2 linked regions of the Coturnix japonica genome follow. Each later gene encodes a partner of the first gene's protein in a complex. Links are inferred from orthologs where the notes say so. Each region holds a gene or a part of one and is shown on either strand. Other genes may lie near its edges.

Region 1 (6,332 bases):
AAAGATTGTGTTAGCCAAGGAAGGAGCTCAGTCTAAAGTTTGCACTAGAGCTAGACTGCATTATAGCTTTCTTCCCTACATGACTTTAAGCATTTAATGTAAGGATTTACCATTCAACTCTTCTCGAATAAACCTATTTGCTTTAACTGTTAAGATACTGTAAGGTAAAAAGAGAGAACTGGGAGGTTTGCAAAGACCAAATACTGCTCAGAGTCAATACCGAAATAAATGACAAAAGCAGAACAGCAATGTACTTGATTAGTAGCTCTACGGTGTCTGATAAAATTAAATAGACTCAATGGCTGCTTTTCTATTTTATTTTAAATTGCCCTTCTCTCCTTGCATCAGTAAACCACACACTGCTCATCAGACAGACCAGGCGGCCCGGAGTGAGCTCCAATGTGGGATTAGAAATTCACTTAAACTTGGGTTGGCTTGTTAGCAATTGGATGTTTCACTTTACTGCATGTAACTGCAGTGCAAATTAACCTTTGATCGATGTGTAGAGACAGTGGCACATAAAAAAGCTATGTAGATGAACTTCATGGCATAATAAGAGCTACCGGTTGGAAACTGAATTTGTACAAATTAAAACAGCAAGTGAGGAAATATAACTTCAGATAAGATGCAGATAAATTCCAAACTAACTCAGGCATCACTGCTTTATACTGCAGTCACCCCCCGAGGAGATATTTTCTAAGTCACTTCTTAATCTTGGCATCCTTAAGCTTCCCATCCTGCAGTTCGCTCTGCATCTTCAGGAATATTTTTAGTTCTCCTTCCTTTAAACTCCCCATGAAGTATCCATATTCTTCCTGAAAAGACACAAAACCACTTCAAAACACTGAGTCATAAGGCAAGAGCAGCACTTATTTCCACATTATCCTGATTATTCACTTCCCATTAAGTCCTAAGGTCACAGTAAAGCACCTGCCAGTGTAATGCACAGAAGGTTCCCACTAATATCTGTGATGACTCAACAGTCCTCCCCTGAATCATTCCCCTCACCATGGTAAAATTCTGCAAATGTTAAGAAAAAAAAACCTTGCTTAAACACAGTAAAACCAGCAGCTAGATATCACATCTTAGGAGAAAATCAGCCATGTTTATATGCCCAGATCTACCTCCTTGAGTGATCCTCTTTTTACATTTTAAGTAAAGCTGTTTCCTTGGCAATACCCCAGTAGGTGGCAAATCCTAAGGCTTGTTGGAAATCAACACAGACTTCCCCAGCTGGTTTATTTTAAGACTCTTGGATAGAAATTATCAATTCCTGTTGCATGAAACTGAATGCTACGCAATGCATTCCATGCTACAGACCATTAACTGCAGTTGTTGACTCCAAATAACAAGTATGAGATGCTCCCAAACCAAACTATGTCAGGACATACCTTTCTCGTTCTACGCTTCACTGCTTTGCCTCTAGCAAGGACCTCATCACATACAAGGTTTGTTTGTTGTTTATTTTGTTCCCAACAGGAACAAAACTACCTTTGTCCAGCATGGCTACAGATATTTAAAACGTCTCTTCAGCTTTTCTGAATCAGACAAGTTGCCCAAATTGTACATTCATTGACTTTTTCATTTTCATCCTTTGTTTCTATATCGATTTTCAGGGCATTGTAATTTTCCAGTGCTCGCTTGACCTGCAAAAACCACTTGTACAATATTGCTTTCTTTTATTTAAATACAACAGTCCCTCTAGGGCATCTAGAATGCTACAGGTACTGGGAATATTTTGTTGTGCTGCATGTGACAGTATTAAGCAATTTTATATGGCTGCTGTTGCAACAGAGACGGATGAGCCTCAGAGCGTACCAAGATCTTTTGCTAGAAGGTGACTATATCATACCACTAATTATGATCTACTAAGATCTATCTTGATGCGTGTGAAGCTCCAAATTGTCATTTTGTTTCCTAGTGTTAATCCAACTGAAAGATGTACCCAATAAAATAACGTGATGTGTGGATTCACTTAAGGGTTGTCATGTTTTATTATGCAGAATGAGGATTTCCGTGTTATTTCAGCTGCACGTGCTATTGTACCACCGAGGAAACTGGCACCCCTATTAATGAAATGGTGCTCAGTCGTTTTATTCAGCCTTTACCACAGCATTTCACACAACCCAAGCAGCAGAACTTGGTTTCCCTAATGCATCATTTCCCATTTTTCCTCTGGTTTTCACCAAGTTAGAGGAAGGATATCTCACAAACATCATCTGACTCCTCTCAGCCTTCGGTTTCGTTTTTCACCACAGCATTTCAGCTCCCACCTCTCTGAGCCCAGAGCTCAGCCAGCCCCGCCATGAGGGGACCTGAGCAGCGTCCCACAGGAGGTGAGGAGCACTCCCAGCCAGCGCCAGCTCTTCCCCCACCCCCTGGTCTCCCGGTCTTTGCCATAAGCAGACACTGAACTCCACATCCTCACAACACACACCAGCTCCACCACCTCCTCCCTATCCCCGCGCGCTCCGTGTGGTACACGCACACACCGCCCACCCTTCCCTCAGCCGGTGCCCGCCCCCGCATGGCGCATGCGCAGACGCGGCTCAGCCTTGGGGCGGGGGTGCCCTTCCTGCACGCGAGGGCGGAGCTGCGGGGCGCCGGACGGCAAGATGGCGGACCTGGAGGAGCAGCTCTCGGATGAGGAGAAGGTAGGGGCGGGCGGGGTGGGGATGCTGCTCCCGGCCGCCGAACCCCCCCCTTCCCCGGTTCTCTGAGTCGGCGGGTCGCGGCACCGTCGCCGTTTGGGGCCGCCCCTGCGGCTCGGCCTGTCAGTCGGGGGCCGGAGGAGGGTCCGCGGGCGGGCAGGGGGCAGGGCCGGCCCGGGGCAGCTCCCGCCGCTCCTTGTAGGGCCGGGATCCTGTGTCCGCTGGAGGCGGCGGCGGCCGGGGAGAGAAAAGGCTCCTCCGGCTCTTCCTCCATCTCCGCTTCCCCTTTCACGGGCCTCCTGCTCTCCCCAGGGATGGGGCCGTGCCTCGGCCTGGCCCCCGAGCCGGCGTGCCCTAGAGGAGGAAGGGTGTGGGGTGAGGAAGGCTTTTTCGTTTCCTGTTAGCAGCAGCGGGGGAAGGCTGAGCTCAGGGATCAGACCCCAGGGTCTGTGTGCGTGATCGCTGCTTGTGGCCCTGGGAACTCATCCGGCTTCAAGCAGGTTTTCACAAGGCATCTCTCAAGAAGCAGCGTGTGTTACAATGCCTCCGTTAGCAGCACTCCCTGCCTTCCCCTCGGACCCAGCTCCATGGTAGCTGCCTGCCCAGAGCTGGGGTGTGGTTTTCCGTGTGCTCGGCTCATGTCTTCACATAGAGCGGTTTTATGCTTTTCTGTACTAAAAAACAAAGCAGGTTGTTGTGGCAGCGGAAGCTTTGGGATGATTTAAATGTTGGAGACATCAGAAAAATAAATGCTCCAGACTTCTCTGAAGTTAGAAGAAGGATGTCCAGAATGTCTTAGGTGGTTACAATGAGGTCGATTCTCTGTACTTTTCAAGATTGACAGGGCTGTGTTTCAGAGCTGGAGAGGCGCTGGTGGGCTAAGATGTGGATCTCTAATTTCTGTTCCTAGCCACAGGTTTTGAGACTGGTCCTCTATCTGGTTCACATTCACGTGTGTTAGATGTGGCAGTCTGTAATTGTATTCATTCTACAACATACAAGTAGCTTTAATCCACTGTGCCCTTGACAGAGTATATGCCTGGACATGCTGAGTCTGCAAGTGAAGATCCCAGGGCTGGAGGATGGCTCAGGTTCGCAGGCCCAAGCAGGGAACCCACAATCACATCCAGGCTGCTTCTGAATATCCCAAAGGAGGAGCAGCCTGTGCCAGCACTCAGCCACCCACAGAGCTCAGAAATGCTTCATTCCTCGTGCCAGACAGAACTTCCTGTTTCAGTTTGTTCTTATTGCCTCTTGTCCTGTCAAATAACGTAAGATACAGTGACACTTTCTTCTTAGCTCTCTATGAGCTGAGAAGCACTGCCTGTACTCAAGTGACCGATGAAGTTAAGTTCTGAACTTCCTTTTGTCCATTAATTACAGTATTTCTTTTTGTCTCCAAATGGGTGCAGACTTTCTGGAGGCTTCTTCTGCCTTTGTATAATTGAATAAAGTCAGCATTTTTCCATTGCAGATTAAATTCATTCCTCTGCCCATGTCTGTCCTCTATAACACTGATCATTCTACACGATTGAAGTTTTCCAAGCCTGGCTGCGTGTTTATTGGCAATAAAACAGAGATGAATAATGCTGCAGGCTCATGGATAGGCAAATAAGTGACCGTGCTGATCCTGTGATACCTCCAGGTTTTTATTTGTCACAGAAGAGGCATGTGGGTTAGTTTTCGTGAGTCTGAACCACTTTGAAAGTTTGTCAGTGTTATGTATGTGTATATATATGCTTCTCTGTGTAACTTTCTCCTGTTATACGAAACAAATGGCATCAAAGACTGACATAAACAATGTTAATGCTATAGGAAATTTTGATGGAGATGTAGCTATAGTGAGGGATTAAGTGATAGCACAGGTTATGAATTGTACTTGGTTTGTGGCTACCTCTGTGTGTGGGCAGGAACTGTAAGTGCTGCAAGGGCAGTAAAAAGTGCTTAGTTCAGGTAAGGGAGCTCTAAAACCAAGGAAGGAGAAGAGCAACTGCAAGGAAACATCACTTTAATGTGCAGGATGGTGTATCATAGGATCGTTCGAGTTGGAAAGGACCTTTAAAGGCCATCTAGTCCAACTCTCCTGCAGTGAACAGGGACACATACAGCTGGATCAGGTTGCTCAGAGCCCCGTCCAGCCTGGCCTTGAGTGTCTCCAGAGACAGCACCTACCTCCTCTCTGGGCAGCCTGTTGTGGTCCCTCACCACTCTCATTATAAAAAAACTGTTCTTATATCTAGTCCAAATCTCATATTTTTTAAGCTTGAAACCATTTCCTGTTGTTTTGTCACAGCAGACCCTGCTAAAGAGTCTGTCTCTTTCTTTCTTATAGTCCCTTTTCAGACACTGAAAGGCCGCTCTCAGGTCTCCCCAGAGCCTTCTCTTCTCCAGGCTGAACTGCCCCAGCTCTCTCAGCCTGTCGTCAAAGGGGAGCTGCTTCATCCCATGGGTCACCAGGGACTGCCCGGTACTACAGACAGCTTCTTTGAGATACAGTGGGTTTGTGGTGTTCTGTAGGTCACTGAAAATGAGGAACATCTCAGTTAGGTGGAAAAAAGAAAATATTATGCTTATGTTTCAGTCTGTAAATCAAAATGAGATGTGAGAGGTAGAAATATTGGAATACAGAACTTTTAAGGGAGGAAGTAATGGAAAATCATCACTTTCCTTCACTTCGGAGGTAATTTATCCTCTGAATAAGTCTTGAATACAAAAGCTATTTATTTATCCAACATATTTGTAGTAGATTTTATGCTTAATAACCACTTTTAGCAGTGTAGTTGTGTTTCAGTTCCTGTACGAATCATTCTGCCTGTGGCCATGAAAAACTGATAAGCAAATATAAAAATGTTTTGTTTTTTTTCTATGAGCTTATTAGCGTGCATCTAAGAATTGCACTTTATTTACATGAATATAAGCAGTGATCAACGGAAGGTATTGTCTTCATTGCAGATGTATTTGTTAATGTAAATACTTGTTAATAAATAGCAGCACACACAAAGCAGGGCTGCAACTGTTTGAATCCTAGGGATGTTTATAAATACCTGAGGTGTGGGAGCCATAGTGGTGAGGCTGGTCTCTTTTCAGTAGTGCATGGGGACAGGACTAGGGGTAATGGGATGAAACTACAGCATAGGAAATTCCGCACGAATGTGCGCAAGAACTTCTTTACGGTGAGGGTGATGGAGCACTGGAACAGGCTGCCCAGGGAGGTGGTGGAGTCTCCTTCTCTGGAGATATTCAAGACCCAGCTGGACGCCTACCTGTGTGACCTGGTGTAGGGAGCCTGCTTTGGCAGGGGGGTTGGACTCGAAGATCTCTAGAGGTCCCTTCCAACCCCTATAATTCTGTGATTCTGTGATGTTCTGTAGTCAGTGCCTTTTGCTGACTCACCATGATGTGTTTGCTGTAGGGTTTTTTTTTTGTCCTTTTTCCTTTTGCAATGTAAACCCTTCTCACTACAAAGCACAGGAGTTAAATAGCCGTGGAGGCAGGCTGAGGAAACAGAGATGTCTTTAGTGAAGAAAGAAGAGAGCATTGATAGGAAATTAGAGAACATAACGTGGTATTTTTTAATGCAAAAGCAGCTCGCTTTCCTTACAGTGCTGAGCATAAAAGTCCATGTATTGTCAAAGGTATCAGAAAGGAACCCCGCCTCTTTCAGTAAGGTTATGCCTCAGT
Region 2 (6,344 bases), on another chromosome or scaffold:
AGGGTCCCAGGGTGCACTCACTGCATGAATAGGTTATGGGATGAACCATAGGGGTCCCAGGGTGCCACTCACTGCATTGAATGGCTATGGGTGAACCATAGGGGTCCCAGGGCGCACTCACTGCATTGAATGGGCTATGGATGAAACGCATAGGGGTCCCAGGGCGCACTCACTGCATTGAATGGGCTATGGGGTGAACCATAGGGGTCCCAGGGTGCACAAACTGCATTGAACCACCCAGATCACTGTTAGGTGCAGGGTATGCCCACCCCCCCAGCCCCCCACCGGTGCTTCCTGGGCTCTGCTTTGCTCCTATGGGAATAGGGACACATATGGGGTGGGAATAGGGACACATATGGGGTGAGAACACTGTCCCCTTTGTCCCCTTCATCCCATGACACCGCAGGTCATCCTGGCTGCAGACCTGGGGCTGGGATCACCCTTCTCCGAGTGAGAGTTGTGACTCACCGCCGGCTGACATCACCCCTATTAATAGTGGGCTTTGTGAAAATTAATTAATCCAAATTAATTAGGAGGTTGGAACTGCCCGAGCGTTCCTCTGTAATCGTGGTGTACGGCAGCCCCAGCACAGCTCTGCTATGGCACAGCCATTCCCATGGCACTCCAAGCTGTCCCTATGGCACAGCATTGGTGGCATGGGATAGAGGGGACACAGGGACCCTCCCCAGAAGTGGCCCCATAACTGCTGACCTTAGTCCCTATTAGGGTAAAGGCTTTTGGGGTGTCCCCAAGGCTGGTTGACACCGAGTGTGACAAGGAGCAAGGACAGGGCGAGCAGCCCCACCACTGCTATGTATGGATATAGGGGTATCCCTTGGGGACCCCATAGTCACCCATTTTGGGGACCTGGAGCAGGGCACGGCGCAGTGTCACCATCCCTGACGCACTCTTTCCACCCATCTATAGGGACAGGGTGACTCCAGCATGGGGCAGCCCGTCCCCACCCGCACACCCGTCACACCAGCTCACGGGGCAGGAATTGCCTTCCTGGGCTCCATCCGGTCCGTCCCCATCCCGGGGTGACGGGGGGACGGGGACAGCCCTTCCGCTGAGCCCCACGTCAGGGCACTGAGATGGGAAACCACTCGGGTGAGTCAGGTTCGGAAGGGACGGGGACAGGTTGGGGGGTGAGTCAGCACCCCAAAGCCAGGCAGGCCGTGACTCCTCACCCCTGGAATTTGGGGTGCCAGGATGGGGTGAGGAGGGAGAGGACGCTGCATGGCCCCAGGTGGGGACGTGTGGGGAGTGGTGGCCTCGGGGTGCCCGGTGCTATCAGGACAAGTGAGCAGCATCACAGGGACTGCAAGTACTGGGGTGAAAGCTTGGCGTCAGATATAGGATCAGTGCCCACCACCATATCCTGGTGCTGTCCCAACCTGTTCTACCCCATCATAGATGGTCACCGGGGGCTGTGGCCACCACGGACACCATCCTATGCCAGCCCACGCCGTGAGTGAGGACTCGTCCCCCACCCCATCCATTGAGGTCATGGGATAAGACCACCAGCCCACGTGCCACCACCACATCCCCAACCTCAGCACAGCTCACACCCAGCAGCTTCCCCTCTCCCAGACTCCAGGGATGGAAAAACCTCTTCCAAACTCCGGCCATGGATCTGAGAGACAAGATCAAGCCCAACCCCGGCACCAGCAACTGGAGCAACTGGTTTAGCTGGGTCAAAGTGGAGCACGGGAGTCGCAGAGGCTGAAACCTGTTCCAGGTTGTGTGTAAACCTCCTGGCACGTCCCTCGCTGATCCCAGTTTGGTAAGAGCTGTTCTGGGGAGCTGCCAGTGTGGACATGCCAGATAGCACCGCTGCGGTCCCCGTTCCTTGGGTAGACCCCCCCTAACAATGTGATTTTGGGTTCATGGTTCCGACCCGTCCCATCACTCAGGGAACACCCGAGCATTCCCTGCTCTCAGGAAGGTTTGGGGTGCGATAAAAGTGGGGCAGAGCCCAACTGAGAGCACCCAGAGCTCAGTAATGGGAGCTGTACAGCCACCACCTGGCTCCCATCAAGCAGCCGTGCCAAGGGCTGCAGGGATCAGGGGGGTTTATTTTTACACCCAGGGCAGCCCTGCAGCAGCTGTGCAGGCAATGCAGTGCCAGGGCCACGCAGTCCCGGAAGGGGCGGCCGCATTCTGTCCACCTCTGAGACGGGGACGGGGGTGCCACGGTCAAAGACCCCCCCACACCGACACTGCCACGTGAGTGACACCGGGGTCTGCTCCCCACATTGGGCTGCACAGCCTTCCCCCAGTGCCCTGGGTTCTGTTTCTGCCCTTGGTTCTGTTCCTGCCCTGGGTTCTGTTCCTGCCCTTGGTTCTGTTCCTGCCCTGGGTTCTCTTCCTGCCCCATGTTGGCTGCCGGATCCTGATGGATAAAGGGATCGTGTCCTGAAGTGACACAGTCCCTTTGCTTCCCCCCAGGACCACCCTCTCCATCCAGACCTCTGCATCCACCCAATTCCATCTGGGTTCTTCACCTTCATCCAGATCCCCTCTGTAGCCACCCCAGCTGTTCCAGGTGCAGGACAGCAGTAGAGCCCCCAGAATCCCATAATTCACCCCAAATCCTCCCCTCTTCATCTGGGCAGGCTCAGGACCCCCATGGGGTCATGGTGGTACAGTTGTGGGGGGGGGGGATGTTGTGGGGGTCCCAGTGCTACAACATTTCTCAACCACAGACACAGGAAGCACGGAAAGTGGAAACGGAGGGAGCAGGATATAATTAGCCCCAAATTAAGGTTGGAATCTGGGATAAAGAGTCCGGCACCACCCAACTCTTGTGAAAACACCACAATCCGGCACCCAGCAGCCCCCTATATTGGGGATGCCCCAGTTTGGGGGCTCAGCATTGCTATGGGAAGAGGGGGGGAGCACCCAGGGGTGGGGAGATGCAACAGGCAAAGCCAGGCGGCGCGGATGCTGGGCCGTAATGAGAGCCAGGATTATCAGCACGGTTTGGAATCTGGTTTCTTTGGCCGTACCCGTTGCTGAGGCAACCTACAGGCAGGGATTGTGGGGCTTTTTTAATGGGACAAGGGCCTTTCTGTGCACAGGGAGCGGGGGGCCCACGCTGCGTCACCTGATAGCCCCCATCAGTTCTCCCCCCCCCCCCCCCCATGGCTCTGAGGACACCGGATACCTGCACACATCAGCCACCGAGGAGGGATGGGGCCGGATCCATCCCACACCGCAGCGCTGACAGATGGGGGATGCCCAATGGGTCACACTCAGGGTCACGGTCTGACCCAGGGCTGGCCCCATTGCTCACCCCATCCCCAACATCCCATTGCTGCTCATCCCATAGGGCTGCAAAAAGGGATGTGTGAGGTTAAGGGCGAGACACAGAGCACCCCAAAGTGCCCCATAAAAGCACCAGCAGGGCTGGTAGTGCTCCTCCAGGTGTGGGGTGAGCAGTGGGGCCAGCGGGGCGTCCCTATATCCCAACCCTAGTGAAGGCAGAGCGGGGCGTCCCAGCGGTGCCAGCCCGACTGTCCAGCCCCGGTATCGGATCCTCCCGGAGGGAGGGGGCCTGGAGCTTATTTAACATCCCTGGGCAGCCCAGCCCAGCACTTGGCGCAGCGGGGAGCTCAGGTGAGCGCGGGGCGGCGGATGGACCACGGGTACCCACCATGGTTTGACACCATCAAGGGGGTCCAAAGAAAGGGGGTACCCCATGAGAAAGGGGGGAGGGGGCACCCCATAACATCACTGATGGCGTTCTGCGTGGTGCCAGGTTGGGAGGGGGCAGTGCTTGAAGGATGGGGTAAGGGGGAGAATTGTGATCCCTGTAACACAGCGGGTGACTCCCGCAGCTGGAGTCATGGCATCGCAGCTTGAAGGGGCCATGGAGACCCTCATTAACGTCTTCCATCACTACTCGGGTAAAGAGGGGGACAAGTACAAGCTGAGCAAGAAGGAGCTGAAGGAGCTGCTGCAGAGCGAGCTGGGCTGCTTCCTGGAGGTAGGGGCTGAACTGGGGGATATGAGGGGGGGTCCCAGCAGGCTGCCAGCCCCGGGGCTCACCCCTTGTCCCCCCCCTCCAGACCCAGAAGGACACGGGGGCTGTGGAGAAGATCATGCAGGACCTGGATGAGAACGGCGACGGGGAGGTGGATTTCCAGGAGTACGTGGTTCTGGTGGCCGCCCTCACCGTGGCCTGTAACACCTTCTTCTGGGAGAACGCCTGAGCCGAGCTCCAGCCCCACAGCCCCCAATTATGGCAACCCCAAAAGCAGAGCCCACCCCTACACACCCCTTGCTCACCCCTTGCTCACCCCATACACCTGAGGGTCCCAAAGGGTCCCAGCTCCGCATTAAAGGCATTGACCCCACCAGCAGTGTGTTGTCAGCTCCTTTATACTGGGGATAAAGGGGGGGGGGGGGATGTTCACATCACCCTGGGGTCACCCATAGGGCCTATATCCCCAGGGTGAGGGACCCTGGCCTGCATGGGGGGGTGGGCTGTGGGGTGGAAGGGGGGGGTGTCCATATCACCCTGGGGTCACCCATAGGGCCTATATACCCAGGGTGAGGGACCCCGGCCTGCATGGGGGGTGGGCTGTGGTCACCTATAGGGCCTATACCCCTAGGGTGGGTGATCCCAGCCTACATGGGGGGGTGGGTTGTGGGGGGCAGGGGGGGGTGTCCACATCACCTTGGGGTCACCCATAGGGCCTATAGCCCCAGGGTGGGGGACCCCAGCCTGCATGGGGGGGTGGGCTATGGGGTGCAGGGGGGAGATGTTCACGTAACCCTGGGGTCACCTATAGGGCCTATATACCCAGGGTGGGTGACCCCGGCCTGCATGGGGGGGGTGGGCTGTAGGGTGCAGGGTGGGGGGGCGTCGTCCCCATAGAGATACGAGGGGGAGGAGGGACCAGTTCTAATATGGCACCGGGCTGCATAGGGACCGCCAGCGCCATCGTCTGCCGGGCTGCGGCCTGCACCTAACACATAAAACCCACAAAACCCAACCGGGCCTTGGAGGTGGATACAGGCCAAGTGAGGCCTTGTAGATGTCCCGGTCCAATTGGGCCTGGTGACCCGCACGGGCCTAGTCCCCGCCATGAGGCCTAGCACCCCGCACAGGGCTGGGCCCGCAACTAGGCCGCATCCATAGCCCCGCCCACATCACCCAAAGTCCCGCCCACCTCGTGCTGAGCGACCAATAGCAGAGGAGGATTTGTACGCGTCGCAGGCTCTCCGCCCAATAGCGGATAGAGTAGCGCTCGCTTCGCACTGCGCCTGCGCGCCGCCATTTTGGCCGGCTGTGCTCTGGGAGGCGGGAGGAAGGAGGGAGCTGCGATCGGCGCCGCCATTTTGTCTCGGGAGCTCCAGTGCGGTGGGAGCGGGCGGAGGAGCTGAGCCCCGGCCCCACAGCCGCTAACAGCCAACAGGCAGCACCACAGGAGACCTGGCGACCGTCTGCTTCGGTGAGAGACCGGGGGGGAGGCTGGGGTGGGCTCTGAGGGGCGGCTGGGGCACCTTTGTTAATGGGGGGGGGGCTGTGAGGAGGCCGCTTCAGGCCCTGAGGGGGGGGGTCGTCGTTTGGATGCTATTCCACAACATTGAGGTGTTTGGAATCGGTTTGGCCCGGCCTGGATTCGGTGTGCTGGTGAATTGTGGTATTTAATAAAGAAATGGGGATGTGGGTGGCTTTTAGTTGGGTTTTCTGCTACGCTTTGTTTAATATATGGTGAGGGTGAGACGTTCTGGGCTGTTTGCTAAGCAATAGGTTTGATGTTAATAGTAATAATGGAGAAATGGGTCAGTATCATCACAAAGCAATCCAGGCCTGTGTGATCTGAGAGCCCCCACACTGTGCCCAAAGCTTTGCATCTAAACTACACACCCATTGCTTGGCCACATCCAGAACGATGGATCTGAACACCTTTATGTGTTTATTTTTATCCAGTGATGTTAAAGCCTCATTGCAGAGCACAGGACCTGGGTCTGTTTCAAGGCAGTTTATCCTTCTTACTCATCCTGACAGCTTTAGAGCTGTGATGGTGTTATGAAGCTCAGCTTTAAATGGTTGGCTGCCATTTTGATGCCCGTGTTGTTACATTGCTCCTGCCTGAGGCAGAATTTCACCTTTCTAAAGAGAAGGCAGATTAATGAGTGACCATAACTCGCTAATGAAGCCTTGTATCATTGGACTTAATGATCTTGAAGGTCTTTTCCAACCTGAGCTGTTCTCGATTCTGTGATTCTATGGCAACAGGCTGGAAAAGCCAATTAAAACCTGCTCGTGTGTTAGCAATGGTTATGGATTTCCTCACCAAAGCAACCAGGATTGAGGTCTGTGAGTATTC

What was found. The genes of interacting proteins can lie anywhere in the genome.
Region 2: the proteins of CAPZA2 (region 1) and S100A1 are in contact, whole or in part, in an NMR structure (PDB 2KBM), measured with the Rattus norvegicus proteins. The link is inferred for Coturnix japonica from reciprocal best matches to the Homo sapiens genes CAPZA2 and S100A1. Residues at the interface, in NP_001009180.1 of Rattus norvegicus: Thr267, Lys268, Ile269, Asp270, Trp271, Asn272, Lys273, Ile274, Leu275, Ser276; in NP_001007637.1 of Rattus norvegicus: Ser44, Phe45, Leu46, Asp47, Lys50, Asp51, Ala54, Lys57, Ile58, Glu61, Leu78, Ala81, Leu82, Thr83, Ala85, Cys86.

Annotation. Positions count from the first base shown.
Region 1 is NC_029516.1:22,330,115-22,336,446, reverse strand, and holds the start of CAPZA2 (F-actin-capping protein subunit alpha-2), read left to right. Parts: upstream 1-2,526; 5' UTR 2,527-2,534; coding exon 2,535-2,654; intron 2,655-6,332. UniProt on the Homo sapiens protein: F-actin-capping proteins bind in a Ca(2+)-independent manner to the fast growing ends of actin filaments (barbed end) thereby blocking the exchange of subunits at these ends.
Region 2 is NC_029540.1:1,232,841-1,239,184, forward strand, and holds S100A1 (protein S100-A1), read left to right. Parts: upstream 1-2,109; 5' UTR 2,110-2,229; intron 2,230-3,480; exon of another isoform or gene 3,481-3,621; intron 3,622-3,826; exon of another isoform or gene 3,827-3,842; 5' UTR 3,843-3,850; coding exon 3,851-3,991; intron 3,992-4,073; coding exon 4,074-4,217; 3' UTR 4,218-4,361; downstream 4,362-6,344. UniProt on the Homo sapiens protein: Small calcium binding protein that plays important roles in several biological processes such as Ca(2+) homeostasis, chondrocyte biology and cardiomyocyte regulation.